2 linked regions of the Lepisosteus oculatus genome follow. Each later gene encodes a partner of the first gene's protein in a complex. Links are inferred from orthologs where the notes say so. Each region holds a gene or a part of one and is shown in the gene's direction. Other genes may lie near its edges.

The links. The genes of interacting proteins can lie anywhere in the genome.
Region 2: pigq (region 1) and dpm2 share a complex: the UniProt entries of both Homo sapiens proteins name them as parts of the glycosylphosphatidylinositol-N-acetylglucosaminyltransferase (GPI-GnT) complex. The link is inferred for Lepisosteus oculatus from reciprocal best matches to the Homo sapiens genes PIGQ and DPM2.

Annotation. Positions count from the first base shown.
Region 1 is NC_090714.1:14,954,696-14,962,202, forward strand, and holds the start of pigq (phosphatidylinositol N-acetylglucosaminyltransferase subunit Q), read left to right. Parts: upstream 1-4,494; 5' UTR 4,495-4,846; intron 4,847-4,884; exon of another isoform or gene 4,885-5,136; intron 5,137-5,471; 5' UTR 5,472-5,546; intron 5,547-5,857; exon of another isoform or gene 5,858-6,170; intron 6,171-7,361; 5' UTR 7,362-7,414; coding exon 7,415-7,507. Other genes in the region: alg1 (chitobiosyldiphosphodolichol beta-mannosyltransferase), read left to right, coding at 252-389; protein-lysine N-methyltransferase EEF2KMT, read right to left, coding at 993-1,111, 1,271-1,420, 2,013-2,278, 2,383-2,516, 2,603-2,707, 2,881-2,961, 3,070-3,132, 3,347-3,466. UniProt on the Homo sapiens protein: Part of the glycosylphosphatidylinositol-N-acetylglucosaminyltransferase (GPI-GnT) complex that catalyzes the transfer of N-acetylglucosamine from UDP-N-acetylglucosamine to phosphatidylinositol and participates in the first step of GPI biosynthesis.
Region 2 is NC_090719.1:15,315,828-15,322,913, forward strand, and holds the start of dpm2 (dolichol phosphate-mannose biosynthesis regulatory protein), read left to right. Parts: upstream 1-4,070; 5' UTR 4,071-4,167; coding exon 4,168-4,170; intron 4,171-4,678; coding exon 4,679-4,768; intron 4,769-5,263; coding exon 5,264-5,366; intron 5,367-5,914; coding exon 5,915-5,970; 3' UTR 5,971-7,086. Other genes in the region: uncharacterized protein, read right to left, coding at 1,113-1,261, 1,773-1,988, 2,376-2,503, 2,840-3,201. UniProt on the Homo sapiens protein: Regulates the biosynthesis of dolichol phosphate-mannose. Regulatory subunit of the dolichol-phosphate mannose (DPM) synthase complex; essential for the ER localization and stable expression of DPM1.

The DNA of each region.
Region 1 (7,507 bases):
GCACAGAGTATCGCAGCTCTAGCTGAGGGATTGTGCAGATGGGAACTTTCAGGAACTGGAAAGTTCCTTGAGGGAAAAGCATTATGCCTTGTGTTTCATGTGCATTAGATCATTTCAGTGAAACAGATTGGAAATATGTCCAGTTGAATCCAGGAGTCCCAGGCTGTTAGGTTATGGAGAGCTTATGACACGTTGAATGTCTGCATGTACTGCCATCCTCACTCATTTCTCTTCTGCCCTTCTCTGTTCAGATGCTACTTGCAGACTTCCCTGGTGTCCAGGGAATGCTGGGTACCTTCAGAAGGACCCTGAGGGATTGTGGCCTGCAGCGCTGGGATGAGAGCTGGGAGCAGACTGTCCTCCCTCTCCTCACCGGAGACGTCCAGTGAAAACCCCACCTGGCGCAGGTGGCCAGCGTCGCAAGAACAGCTGCTGGCCAGACCGGGCACATCTGCCCCACCTACGCTCTTGAGGACCCTGCTGTGTAACAGACTGCGGCAGATTCTCAGCACTTACACTAGAAACAGCTGGACGACACTCTTGGATCAGTACCTACACCTGGCCGTGACCAGTGTGGTTACGTTTCAGAGGGCTTCCTACACGGCTTGGTTACTGCCTTGAGGAAGAGGGCAGCAAGACCACACACATCCCCACACAGCGAGGCCTGTAGATTAATGAACAGCGCAGTGTGGTTCCGGGTCTGACCCGGTACCACACTCGCCCGGGTCCGAACTTCAGCGGGGACAAAGCGCAGCAGGAGTGGCTCGGGGAGAGACCAGCTTGGTTTTATTACGAGGATGAATTCGCTTCACTTTCTCAGGTGCCCTTGGATTTTGCTTCTCTTCGAAGTTGTCTGCCAGCGTGGTGCTCATTCACCGTGAATTAGATTTCCTAGTAATAGGAGTCTTCAACTCGAACCCAGATCGAAAGGACTGTAAACCTGTTCAGAAAAAAAACCCTCTATGTACAAAAAAAAGAACGGTTTACTTTTTTTAATAAAGCACTTTATTTAATAAATGGAGTTGTACAATTTCGATGGTAGATTTTCTGTCGTAGGGGAAGACCTGTGCTGTAGGACCAGGAACCGATCGATGTTTGATTCCAGCTTTATCTGCAGACAAAAAATAAAAGATCATCCAGCCGTTCGATTTGAATAACTTCCTAGTCCAGTCGTGGGCTGTGGTGAGCTGGCAAGGAATGAGCACAAGGCAGGATCATACACAGGGGAACGATTTCGAGACCCCTGTCCTGGGGGGCACACGGGTCTTACCAAGCTCGCTCTTGAAGAGGCGGTACGTCTCGGGGTTTCGGATGGTGGAGGCTATGTAGACGTCAGGGCTCCTGCTCTGCACAGGAAGCTTTAAAAGCTTGAGGAGCAGCCCCACTAGCGCACAGATGACACCGGGGTCGTACACCACATCTGTGTCGAACAAAAAGACAGACAGGACCGGAAGGGCCTTTTTAGAACAAAACTCTAGCCAGGGGTTAATCCAGCTCTAAGTGTGTAACATTTGAAACTATTACACATGAGGTGGCTCTGTGGCTCAGGATCTGCGCCTGTGGCTGGAAGGTTGCTGGTTCGTATCCTGCGGCCGGCAGAGGAATCCTACTATGCTGGGCCCCTGAGCAAGGCCCTTCACCCCAACTGCTCCAGGGGCGCCGTATAAACGGTTGACCCTGGGCTCTGACCCCCAGCTTCTCTCCCCGTCTGTGTGTCTCATGGAGAGCAAGCTGGGGTATGCGAAAAGACAAATTCCCAATACAAGAAATTGTATATGGCCAATAAAGTGATCTTATTAGAAGCTTATGGGTTTGGACCGTGATCTCTGGGCTAGCAGAGTCTGCATCTTGGTTGTAGTGATCATCTAGTTCTGAAGACGCATTTCCAAGTCCTTTTAAGCTGCGCCTCTGTGCAAAAGAAAACGAGTGTTTTCCGGCTTTCCATAGAGGAGAACAAGGAAACCGACACGAGGAAAGGAGCTCCTTTCGGGAGGCAGCCGGGGCCACAGCACCTGACGCGATGACCGTGTCGGCCTGAAAGCCCTCCAGCTGCTCCGGGGCTGCGGCGTCCCAGTCCAGCTCCGCCACGGAGACGGCCGGGGTGCCCGGCCCGGGGGTAGGGGTGCCCGGGGGGGCCAGCCCGTTCAGCGCCAAGTTGCCCCGCAGGAGCTGCAGCACGCTGGGGTGGCCGTCGCTGAACGTGTACCTGCGGGGGCGGCAGGACTTGCACACGACCGCCCCGGTCAGGCCCGCGCCGCTGCCCAGCTCCAGCACCGCCCTGCGGGGAGAAAAGGGGGACGTTCCGACACCCCCGCGAAGACAGGCTGCGCCCCCCCCCCCCAAGCTAGTGAGTGTCGTGGAGGGCGGGTTTTAAGACCCTACCTGCCGCGGAAGAGCTCGGGCCGCTCCATGGCCCACTCGGCGAGGTGCTGCGCCGCCTGCCAGGTCACCAGGCCCGTGGTGCCGTCTGAGACGAGCGCCGTGCTCTCCAACAGGCTGACCGTGTCCCCTGAGGGCTGGACACCCCACACGACGCGTCACTCGGACGGTACAGCGCCAGGACACAACCGGGAGGGGGGGCGGAAACGAGGGGCTCTCCTACCAGAAAGTAGCTCTTGTGGCAGACCTGGTCTTCCCCCGCTCCCACGACCTCCGCGAAGGCGTCGTACAGCTCGTCCAGGGGCTCCGCCCCCGCCGCGGCTTCGTGCTGTCCAGGATTACAGAGGTTAGAGAGCGGGGTGAGGAGGAGACTCGCCGGCCGCCCTAGACTTCACGTCGCGCAGTTTGCACGACATTGCTTTTTCTGCAATTAGAGCACACGCAAAAAGAAGCGCACACCTGTCCCGTGCAAAGGTGTGAATCGGCTGACGTTTAAATTACCTTTTTAATTAATTCGGAGAGGAAAAGCCTTCTGTATTTAACGGACGGGGGGTTCTTTAGACAAAGTGGATGGTGGACTGTCTGAAAGAAGCACAGGGGAGGGATGTAATCGATCATTCATTTATTTTTTTTTTAGAAATATTCAATGCATCATGTTGGTGTATTTGCACTCGAGCCGGCCGGCTGTACCCTCTGCAGGATGCGGAGCACGATGCCAGGAGAGTCCGGACCCTGCACCTCCTTCTCAAGCGCCTGGAAGAGAACACGTTGGGGGGTCTTTAGTGGCACAGCTACCATGTCTGACACCCCTATAACACTAGAGCACTATTCCTTTAACAGTGACCGCAACTCTCCCGGCCCTCGGAGTTTCTCGAGCTGCTTCTTCAAGCTGCAGCGCTTGGCCAGGCTGCAAAACACAGCGGTTCAATAAGTATCACTCGACAGCCCAAAGGAGAATTTGACTTACTCTCCAGGGAAACGACCCCAGTCTGCACATGGCAAAAAAAGACACCGTGAAATCCTGGAGTACAGCGCGTTGGTCTGCTGAAGACGAGTCCGTCTTCCTCGAAACGTCTTCGAGACTCATGGTTCCAGCAACGAAACGACTTTATAAAACCTTCTTCATTTATTCAGATGCACATGCATACTGTACAAATGTGCAATGACAGTCGCACAGACAACCACATCTCGAGGAAGAAAAACAGACCATGTCGACGGCACGTTTTTTTCACCCATAACCCACTGCGGGTTTGTAGTCTTTTTTTCCCCCCAAGCAGTCTGGTAAGTGTAGTTTTTTTATTTGGGTAGCGCAACTTTTATAAAAACACAACCATTGCCCTTTTTTATTAACGTTTCCTTTTTTTAAGGAAAATAAACAAATCACATGATCACCATTTTTGCATTGATTTGAACTTAGTTTTTTTTTTCTTTTTAGTATACCTGATAGGTCAGTAAGGGGAACCGAACCTTTTAATGCAAGAGAAATTACATTATAAATGTCTTTAACGTAGAACTGGGCTAAGTAATACCGTGTACTGCAAATCAGTTCTGTTAAATTGTACTCTGTCATGAACTGGCTTTAATCAAAATAAAGCGAAACCAATTGAAAACAAGCAATAAACAATATTAATGAGGCTTAATAGACATAGCGGTTTGAGGAAATGAATAGCTCTATCTGTGATTTACTGATGTTACAGAAGCTGTGCAGGCGGACTTCTTTTAATGTTTTTACAAAATCTGCTGCTTTTTATTTTACAAAATATACTATTTTACTTTTAGTTACCTTATTACGTTTTCCTTTTGTAGGGACAGAACACATTTTTCTCTTCGTCTCTTGCTTCTAGATAGATAAGACTTTTTTGACTCTGTACTCTACAGCAACTGCGGCGCCCTGGTGCCGTTTATAACTTATCATTTAGTACCACTTTGCACAACCCCTCATCTCACTGTAATTCGTACTGGCGTCAGACCGCGTTTAAAACAGCCGTGCAGTGAGACCTCACGGTCCCGGAGATACCAGGGCTCTGTCTGGCGCTGTGTTTGGTGCCTGATAAGGCCGGCAGACCGTGGTATCACACCCGCACATTGTCACTGAACTGTGACCAGACGCCTGCTGGCAGATAGTTCAGTAAGCGTTTGGTGTGATCATCATTACGATCAATATTAAAATTTAAAACACCTTACAAAATGAAACATGAAAAAAGCACAAGACCGTATGCTGGGTAGAACCGCACGGGGGAGGGGAGGGGGGCAGTCATTTTCTGGGGCTTAAAAGATTTTGGTGTTTAACGCGGGCAATAAACGCAGCGATCCAGACTTTTTCCATCACGTGTATCGGGCTTGTCGTGTGTTATCGACTCCTGTAGTCTGTAGCGCTCAGCCAGCCCGCTCTTGCTCTTGCGGAGTCGCCGAGCTACCCGCGCCCGGGCCCTGCGACAGGCGCAGACGGCAGCCAGACAGCACGGCGGTGAGTACCCGGGCGTCTCTCCTCTGCCAACGGCCCTGACCCCTGCCTCTCTGGCCCGGGAGGCTTGGAAAACCAGGGCAAGCGAGCGAGCAAGTCTGGAGCCCTGCTCCTTTAGGAAGCGCGCTGCAGTAACCTTGGAGGCGAGACAGGGTTGGCGTGGGTGACTGCGTTTGTAGCCAGAAAAATGCAGAACGGAGGAGGAAAGGGACAGCGCGCAGCTGAAAGGGCTGTGGTGCAGCCCTGGAGCATTTAAAAGCATTCAATTCACCCGAACACCGCCAGCTTCGAAGGTCTGTCGTCGGTTTACAAAAAAATAACGCTATTTGTATAGATTAAATATATACCGATCATGGACTTAAAAAAATAACTTAAATATTAAAACCAGATACTTAAAGCTTGTCATCTTAAAATGTAGTGTAAAAGTCAGGGGTCAGCCGGCTGGTTTTACATTTTAAACATGATCTTATTCCTTACAACCATATAATTTATGGATTTCTATCCCTATTAATTACCATCATTTTAATTCTCGTCATTATTGTTTTAAATGACATGGTCTTACAGTATTACTGTACTTCATGGCGGCACAAAAGAACGAACTGGAACCTGTCTGCTTTCTCTACAATAGATTCTGCCGGATCTATTGTAGCTGTGTGTCATATTCGCCGGGGGACGAATAAGTGTGCTGCACGCCGGGGGAAGTGCTAAGAGCCGCGTCGGGGCCGGTTATTACTACCCGAAATGGTGAAGCGACAAGGGCTGTGGGCGGGGTTTAAAATGTGTTCCTCCCATGGCCGATAATGATTGGTCACAGAGCAGGAGAAGCGGAAGCAAGGCTTCAGCGACTAAAAACGACTCTGGTGGGCATCGGAGGATAGCAGAAGGACATAATTTCTCATTTTATTCAAAATGGCACACTCATCCTAGGGCACACTAGGCTGTCCTGCCTCTTTCCAATCCTAATACCCCGCTACAGAAAGCCGCACCACAGATATGGGCGTTTCTTATCACTGAGACCACACCCACCCCCGCCCCCCAAGGTGATATTGTGGCGTGTTGCTTCACGAATTCGGGTGGGAAATAGGAGTCAAACGGGACTTGTAACAGCGACGGACAGCTATCGTACTTACAGTGAATGTGGCAGTCTGCAACAAACTGAAGCACTGTATTAAGTGGGTTCGACATAATTTATTATTCCATTTAAATTATTCCATGCACTTACAAGATACAGACACTCCTATCTCACCATCATGAAACCAATTTGGAAACAGCGGTCGTGCCCAGCAAAGTCCTCAGACTAAGATATTCGGAAGGTCAAAAGCACACAGTAAGTCTGTTCTGTGCCTGCTAATTATCTTCCCCATTTGTTGTGTTCATGTAAAAAGCACTATTTATTTCAGTTAGATAGGTTTAAGATGATAAAGTGTGAAGTTGTGGTACACAAAGTATAAGTAACGATTAAAATGTAGACTTCACGTTTAGCTACTGTTTAGTTGAACAGCTAAGCATTTTCTATTTTCTTTTTATCTTCTTCGACCTTCGTGCTTGGCTGTATGTACTTCTGAGCAAATCTGTGAGCTAATTGAAGGCAGAAATATGATCTTCAAAGAGCATGCCGTGAAAGCAGGTTTCTAAGGAATTGCGGGTCGAGGTCGGCTTCCCAAGGACAAAAGGGGCGGACAGCCCCTCTGTGAACCTGTTCGTCAGATCCGGAAGGGCTACTTCGATCTCTGGTTAACTTTCATGAGCAAAAAGTGCTTATAGTGAGCTAATGCGTATGGATTTTATCAATAGACACAGTGAGAGTGTAGTAGTATTGGAACAAGTAATAGGTTTATTCTAGGCTGAATAGAGAAGAGAGAAAACCCAACGTTTCGGCCGTGGAGCCTTCTTCAGGAGTGAAACGGCCGAAACGTTGTGTTTTCTTTCTTCTCTTTTCAGCATGGAATAAACCTATTACTTGGTCCTTTGCAGCCTACGCATGCTGACGCAGCTCCCCACCTGAACTACTTGAAGTAGTATTTCTACCTTAATGACTTAAGTATGTTTTTCTCGAATGTCGAATAAACGGGTTCTTGTGAAGAACGCGTGAGGGCATTAACTGACACAGGGTGCTCTATCCAACACCAAGCAGAGGAAAAACAGCCCAGTCGTGTAAGCCCAGAGCCGATGTAATGGTCCACCACAGAAACCACAGTTGAGGGCGATGTAGGCTTTGGTGGCGCCATCTCAGATCATTACTTAAGGAATGGCTAAAACTAATAACTGTTTGCATTTACTGTTATAAAATATTTCAGGGCTCTTCTAAGGACTTTATAGATGTTTAAATAGATGGATATTAGCAACCATAAGACCGAGACCGTGGGTTTATTAATGAAGTTTAATGGCTTTTCCATGAGGTTTGTATGAACAGCAGTGATCGTCCGTATGGCCGGTTGCTAAGCTCTTGATGACCATCGTTGAGGTGAGCTTTCCCGAGTTTCTTTCGGATAACCCCGGCCGTATCCGTTTCTCCCCAGAAGAGGCTTGTCGATAACGCTCGTCCCGTCGTTCCGGAGAGCTCCGGCCGCCATGGTGCTGAAGGTGTTTTTCCCGCGGTGCTGCAACGCGGGCGACAGCGGGCTTCTCGTTGGGCGCTGGCTGCCGGAGCACGACTCGGCGGTG
Region 2 (7,086 bases), on another chromosome or scaffold:
GTAAAAGAAGAGCACGCTGCTGACACTTGGGATACTAAGTTATTAGTGAAACTGGAGAAACAATTCTCTTCCCCAGTCTCCAGGGCCTGGTGTTTCCCTATTTGAACAGTTTTCCATTGTTTTTCAACTTGAGAATTTGTCCCATGACTTATTTCTAAAAAAAATAACAACCTAGTTCTGGAGCATTGATAAAAAATTAACTGGATTTAAAAAATCGCGTAACCGCGGGTGAGGAAAATGGTAAAAACTGCAAGTGGAACGAACACCTTCGAGCACAGGTGCGAAGTGCCCATTGTGGCTAATAATCAGCTGCAGTTGTACAAAACCGGCACTTGTTTATTCCATAACAGCAGGTACAGTGTTAGTTGGGTAACTGAAAAAATAACAAGTCCAGAAACTGGTGGGTCCCGTGATGAAGAAAATAAAACTAACCAGCTGTAGACCTGAAAATATAGCAAACAGAAAAGGAAAGTATTAATGGGACCTGGCTAACTCCTGGCTGTAGCCTAACTGACAACTATAAAAGAAACAAACCCAAAATAGGATGGAAAGAAAAACTTAACAAATTTGGAGTAAAAAAAAAAAATCCAGTTCATGCGAGAGCTTTTGCAAGGCTGCGGCTCGCCATGCGTCTCCTCTGGTCTTGGATCTCATTATCTATGCAGAGGTCAGCTGGAGGACCTCTCCTGGTGTTAATGAGGAACTGACCTCCAGCAATCACCTAGTGGAGAAAAGCCCAGGCTATGATCCCAGCACAGAGGGGGTTAAGGATGATCTGAAGGTGACAGGAACCGTGAGGAACAAGGTTCCACAGACAAAGTTGGGACCCATATTAGTTTGACCATCATTCCTCTCCTGGTAGTCTTCCAGGATGCCAGCCGACTGGGTACTGTGGTGGGCAGCAGGTTCTTTTGGATGTGCTCAAACATGCATCGATCCATAGTGTAGTTTTTCCCATGGGTGGGAAAGCTATCTCTAACTACCTCTATAAACACCCCCTATGTAATTGGCCTTTCCCCTGGCTGATAGAGGCTATGTGTTGAAGTGTCTTGGAGATAAGGACAGGGGGCAGCGCTCCACATTGCAAGACAGGGCTTGCGAAGTTCTCCGCTTCAGAGGGTCTCCTCCTTGATGCACTGGCTCCGGCCCAGCCTCCTCCCTCTCTCCTCTGTGAACTGGTAGCACAGGACGCACCACAGGCTCTCCTCGGGCCTGATCTGCACCCCCTGCGTGCTCCTGAAGGGCCGCAGCGCGCAGGAACCTGGGAGAGAGAGAGAGCACGTGCCTCAGGGCGCTGACCGCACTGGTGCGAGGGCGAGGAACGCCTCACTCCGTCCTCCGCCTGCGAGCACCTCCCTCCCCGAGCGCTGCAGTTCCCCGCCGAGTGGAGAGCTCGGCCGCAGCACCTGCTCTGAGGAAGTGGGGCTGTAATTCCCCTTTAACTGCGCCAATCCCCCGCTTTGTTGGTCAAAGTTTTCAGAAACTGATGATTTGAGGGCGTCCTGGGAACCAGAAGACTCGATGGGTTGTCATCCCAGGGCTGCTCACTCCTGCACCGGGGTAAAAATTCACCAGCACGACTACTGCACCTCACAGCACCCTCTGGTGTGTACTGCATAGGGCCACCCATTGAGTTATATTATTGTTCTAGAAATGACTTGTGAGTTCTGTGTCCCGTTGTAACCTGACTGCAAGACAGTTTGAGGTGGGGGTCACCATGCATGAAGATCCACTTTATAAAATACATCCGGATCGCCTGGCAGGTCGATTACCCAGTATGAAGTACGCAGCAGTGCCGAGGCAGAGGACGATGAGGAAGATGGTCATCGGCCCTACGTCCTCCAGGTTGCAGGAGTTGGGGCAGGCACAGGGGCTCCGGACGAAGATCTCCAGGGCGCGGTTGTGCTCCACAGGCTGGGAGAGGGACACGGAGTGGTTGGGGCTGCAGTGATAGTGTACCACAGTGTGGACCAGGCTGCTGGAAAGGACTTGTTAAAGAACATCGAGGGGATAATTACTCCTTCGCACGGCCTGTACTACTCTCACATCACATTCACGGTGGGCAGCAAGACGTTTCTTTTAGTTCTGACCAGGGCCAAAGCAGAGGCACACAATCCCTTTCCACTTACAACGTCACCTCATAGCAAAAAAACAGGAAAAGGTTTCAATTCAATTCAATAAATGTACCTTGACAATACACACTCACACCTGAGGATTACCAAAGATCCTCTTTCAAACTTCCATCTCTTCAAAATGAAATCCCTCATTGATTATGACAGAATTGCTCTCATGTCTGGTTCTTAGACCTAACCAGCCCTTCACTGACATTTAATTATTTGCAAGCCCGGAAGAAGTTACGTTTCTGATGAGCTAACATAAAGACGGCGAACCTGGGTATGTAACTGAAAGGGTCCGCGATTGGTTGTCGTATCTGAATTCATTCCCTTCGTGTTGCCCGTAGTTGAAGTAGCGACTCTCGACGCCGCCGCTGCTTGTGTGGTGTCTGGGAGAGAGAATTGAGTTGTCGGAGGGGAAAAAAAGGTTTAGGTTGCACCTACCCGTGCCAACCTCATCAGGCATGTCCGCCAGCAGTGACAAGGGCACCCTCGCAGTAACCGTACTGACCTCGACATCGGCAGCCAGTGATTCTTATCGGAGTAGAATACAGTAATATGCTGCTATAATAAGGAATTTGTTTTTAAATCATAACAGTTTACTGCAGTATTTGCTCTGAGCATCCGTAAGGTTTGTTTGCTCCCAGTCCTAACAACACCGTTTCGCACTTGGACTACAGTCTCTCCCCACTCCCCTCCGCCCCGCAAGCAGGCGCTGACCCTACCTCACGACCACGCAGGCGGCCACCTCCAGGCACTGGGTGCCGGGAACCTCAGCGGGCTCGGAGAAGGGCGAGCAGGGGCTGAACGACACCAGCACCTCGTCCGCCCCCGCCGGCTCGGCTCTGTAGCGCTGCGGGAGCCCGGCCGAGCCGCCCAGCGCCGCCAGGTTAATGACGCCCGAGCCGTCCTTCAGGAGACACTTGCAGTGGCTCACCTTGAGGCACCCCGGCTTCTTATTCAGGGGTGGAGGAGACGCAGAGGGGAGAATAAAACACAGGGCAAGGAGAAGGATGAATTTGCAGACCTCCATCCCGCTGGGGTGTTTCTGGAGTACGGCGCTGCGTGCCTCTCCCGGGGTTCTCATTAGTAACTCTCCTCTGACAGCTGTGGCAGCTCCATGAGACCGAGGAAAGCAATTACAATGTCACCACCAGATTCCAGGGGTCTGACGCAGCCTGGGCCAGCCGGCGTTGCAAGAGCTGCATTTGGGGATGGCGAGAGATTTCTTCTTCTTATAGAACCAGTGTCAAAATTATCTTTGAGATATTCCGATTTCGCTCTAAGCAGTGATAAAAGTTGAGTCACCCACTGGAATAGGACCACGTTTACGCTCGTACAACTTTTGGCGATTTAATTTAATACCCCGGGAGCTCAGGAGCGGAACACGGAAAGAAAAGAAAATTCGTAGCTGCATCTGAAGAACTTACCACGACGCGCTCTCTAGCTCATAGTGAGACCCATTTTATATTGCAAGGCTGGAGCTCATTTAAATATTTCTTTTAAGAGAAATTATTTAAACGCGCATCAGCGTAACAAGACAACGAGAACATTAACAAAATCAAATCTATATATTTAAAATTCAGAGCAGAAAGTGTATTAGATTTTTGGATGCAACAAAACTGCACCTATACTATCAATATAATGCTATATACCACACAGCTTATGAATGGTACAGTAGCAGAACAGGCCAGTATGTGGCATACTGTATAGAATTAACAGTACAGGTGCACCTTTGTTGCCACCTTGTGTTTTTTCGCATCATCTGTGAAATTTCGAGTTAATTAATATTCTGAATACCTGTTATATCCGTTCACATGTAATAATTTCTTCACTAATGTGAATGATTGCACGCACGAAAGGCTATAGCGAACTCGCAAGCAAAATACCCGTCATCTAATCCAATCTTTTCAAAGTTGGTCACATCGCAAAAAAAACTACATTTCCCATAATTCTTCAAATTTTTGATTGGAAGATTTAGGGACCAATCAGAATTCACCGGAAGTTGGAAGCTCCACGATTTCGTAGAAGGAAGGAAAGTACCGAGTGCAATATGGTGAGTTGGACTTAAACATGTTCGATTTCTGTAGCTATAATAAATATTCCTTTGTAATTTGTGAAGCCTGGTTAATGCTTTATTTAGTGCAATGACTTATGCTTATAAGGCGTTATCTGAGCTGCATTATTGTATCAGCTTTCATAGAATTTGAATGAATTGGCAACTCGGAAAGACAGGTACGTATTTAACGAGATAATATATACTCTTACAAACAGAAACTGTAGCTTTGGCAAGAAATGACGAATTCGCTTTGAAGTGTAGTGTGTATTGTATTCAGTATAAAGTTATGCTATGTGTGGGGTTTAATAAGATACAGTCAACATATCAACCCGTAAAATCTGTGCGTGGATATAACATCTTCTTCGGGGTTAGAGGACAGTTAATCCAAGTAAGCACCTGTGTCGGAGTTTTTGCAGTTGCACAGTCACCTTGCGACAGCAGAACGAAACGCCCAGTGTGATTATCGGTGCTATCGGTTAACATTTCTTTTCCACGGCTTTGCTAGGCTACAGGAGCGGATCAGGCGGTTGGGATGGGCATCGTGAGCTTCAGCCTGCTGCTCTTCACCTATTACACAGTCTGGGTTATAATCTTGGTGGGTATTCACCTCTCTTGCTTCATGTGGATTTTGATCCTCTGGCTGTTTTCCCCAGTGACACAATAGCAGTCTTTGACACGTTTTATAGGGTATATAAGGTGTATACAGTACATATCAATGTATCTTGTTTGCCCCTGAGACTCGCAGACAGGTCTTCATGCCCACTGCTCATGTCCCATTCCTCTCTTCCCCTTTGAAAACATGGGAATGTCGTCTTCAGTTCTGCAGTGGCTTCGCACTTTCACTTTGGCATTTGTTTAGGAATAGCAAAGTACAGCATTGAATAAAGATCTCTTGAAGAAACGCTGCTGTGTACAGTACAGGATCAGATAAGACAGCTGAGACACTTGTCAGACCTTTAGAGATAAAGAATTTCAACCATTTTAAAATATTTGAAAATTCCTCCCAGATGGAGATTTAGTGATGAAGGAGGAGGAGATGCCTGGGGATGTGGGGACATGTGGTAACCCTGGTCTGGTTGTTGTTTTGCAGCCCTTTGTGGACAGTGACCACGTGATGCACCAGTATTTTCTCCCCCGGGAGTATTCTGTCATATTGCCTGGCGTTGCAGCTTTGATTCTGCTGCTCTTTGTAGGTAGGTGTGTTTCTCTTGCAGGGAGGGGATTTACAGTCACTTAACATATCGGCAGCCTGTGCTTATTTTCCCACAAATCAAGGTTTCAGATTGAGGGTGAGCATTTATTAACCTTTTCCAACCTTCGTGAACGTCTCAGCTTGAAGGTGGTTGTTATCATAGCCAGTTCTCTATGACAAACACGAGCTCATGTACTACAATGACCAGAGAACGCAAGACCATTGAACTGATTCACGAATCGCACTCGTTTGTTTCTTGAAAGCATTTACTTCTTTGCTTTGAGGTCTCTCACCTCTTCTCCTTCTGTTTTGGAGTCTTTAAGGCCACGAGTGTGGCTGTGATGATTCACTCAGACATTGTTTTTGTGAAACTGTCTGTTGTTGTTGCTGGTCTGGGTAGACATGGCTACAACATCTGCAGTGCATGAGTCACACTTGCACACTTATTTTTACATTTTGGTAAGAGGTCCCAGATTTGAAGAGAGTTCGTTTGTCTTTGGCCTTCTGTTTCTTTCTGAAGAGAATAACTATGTCTTCTTTTATATTCAGGAACCTTTATCGGCATAGTAACCTGGAAGAACAGGAAACCAAAGAAGTCAGAGTGAAAAGAGCAGCTCGTTCACAAGCATCCAGGAGTCCAACCCCCATGAGTGAGATCAGCTCCTGTGTGAACCGATGAACGAATCCCTTTTCCTTCACATTGCAGAGCACTTTGGACATTCTGTGGGCAAGTCTGAAAAGCGGGCTGCACTGCAGTTTGAGCCATTTCAGAGTCACCTGTGCTGACGTCTCAAGGGTTGAATTAAGGGTAAATCCGAGCGGACGGGGGCTTGTGAGGTTACACCCACAGTGGAGCAGAAATGGAATTTGCTGTGCAGGTCACAGACCGCCCTCTTCCCCCAGGCAAACGTTCGAGGTGCTGCAGAGAAGAATATCGTCCTTGCGCACTCCACACACCCTTAATGACTGCATGGCTGTAAGCACTTTGTCGCAAAAACCCAGAGGGGCCGGCTTGTAATCCACAGAGTCGCTCCCAGATGAGAGCCAGATGACTCATGTAACCCGTTTCCGTCACTGAATTGAAGGGATACAGTTTTTTTTAAAAGCACGATGGAAGTTCTTAATGTTGCCACTAACATTACATCTAAAATGCTTTACCTGCAAGTTTTATTTTAAAAACATTGCGTCAGTGAAACTCCATACTAGTTTTGTGGTGGCTACAGGAAGATGAAATTAATTCCCATGTAATATCAGTGCCCCCTTTGCATTGCAGACAAGCTTGTATATATTTATGTACAGTATGCAGTAAAATTGTGATGTCTACTTAATTACACTTGTAGGCAGCTTTTGTCCTGTAACGTACCTCCATCTGTAAAATGCTGTGACTACCCTTCCAAAAAAAAAAAAACAATGACATCTTGGTTCACAAAACTGCCTTCTTATCTTTTTTTAACAAAAATCACAAATGCATGAATTGTGATGCCTGCACACATTTCAAATGTGAGTGCAGGTATTGACCTTCTCGTACTTTTTGATTTATACACCTTGCGCCTTGTAAGACTGTGTGTTTAGTCCTTAAAATATGAAGTGTATGTAAAAAAACACACATGCTTCAAGGCTGACTAAAGACCCAGCATGTTAAAGTTGATTTCAGTGGATGGAGGGATGGTGTGTTTAATGTACTGTTGTGCTCCAAAGTTCATACCTAAGGCTCTGAGATG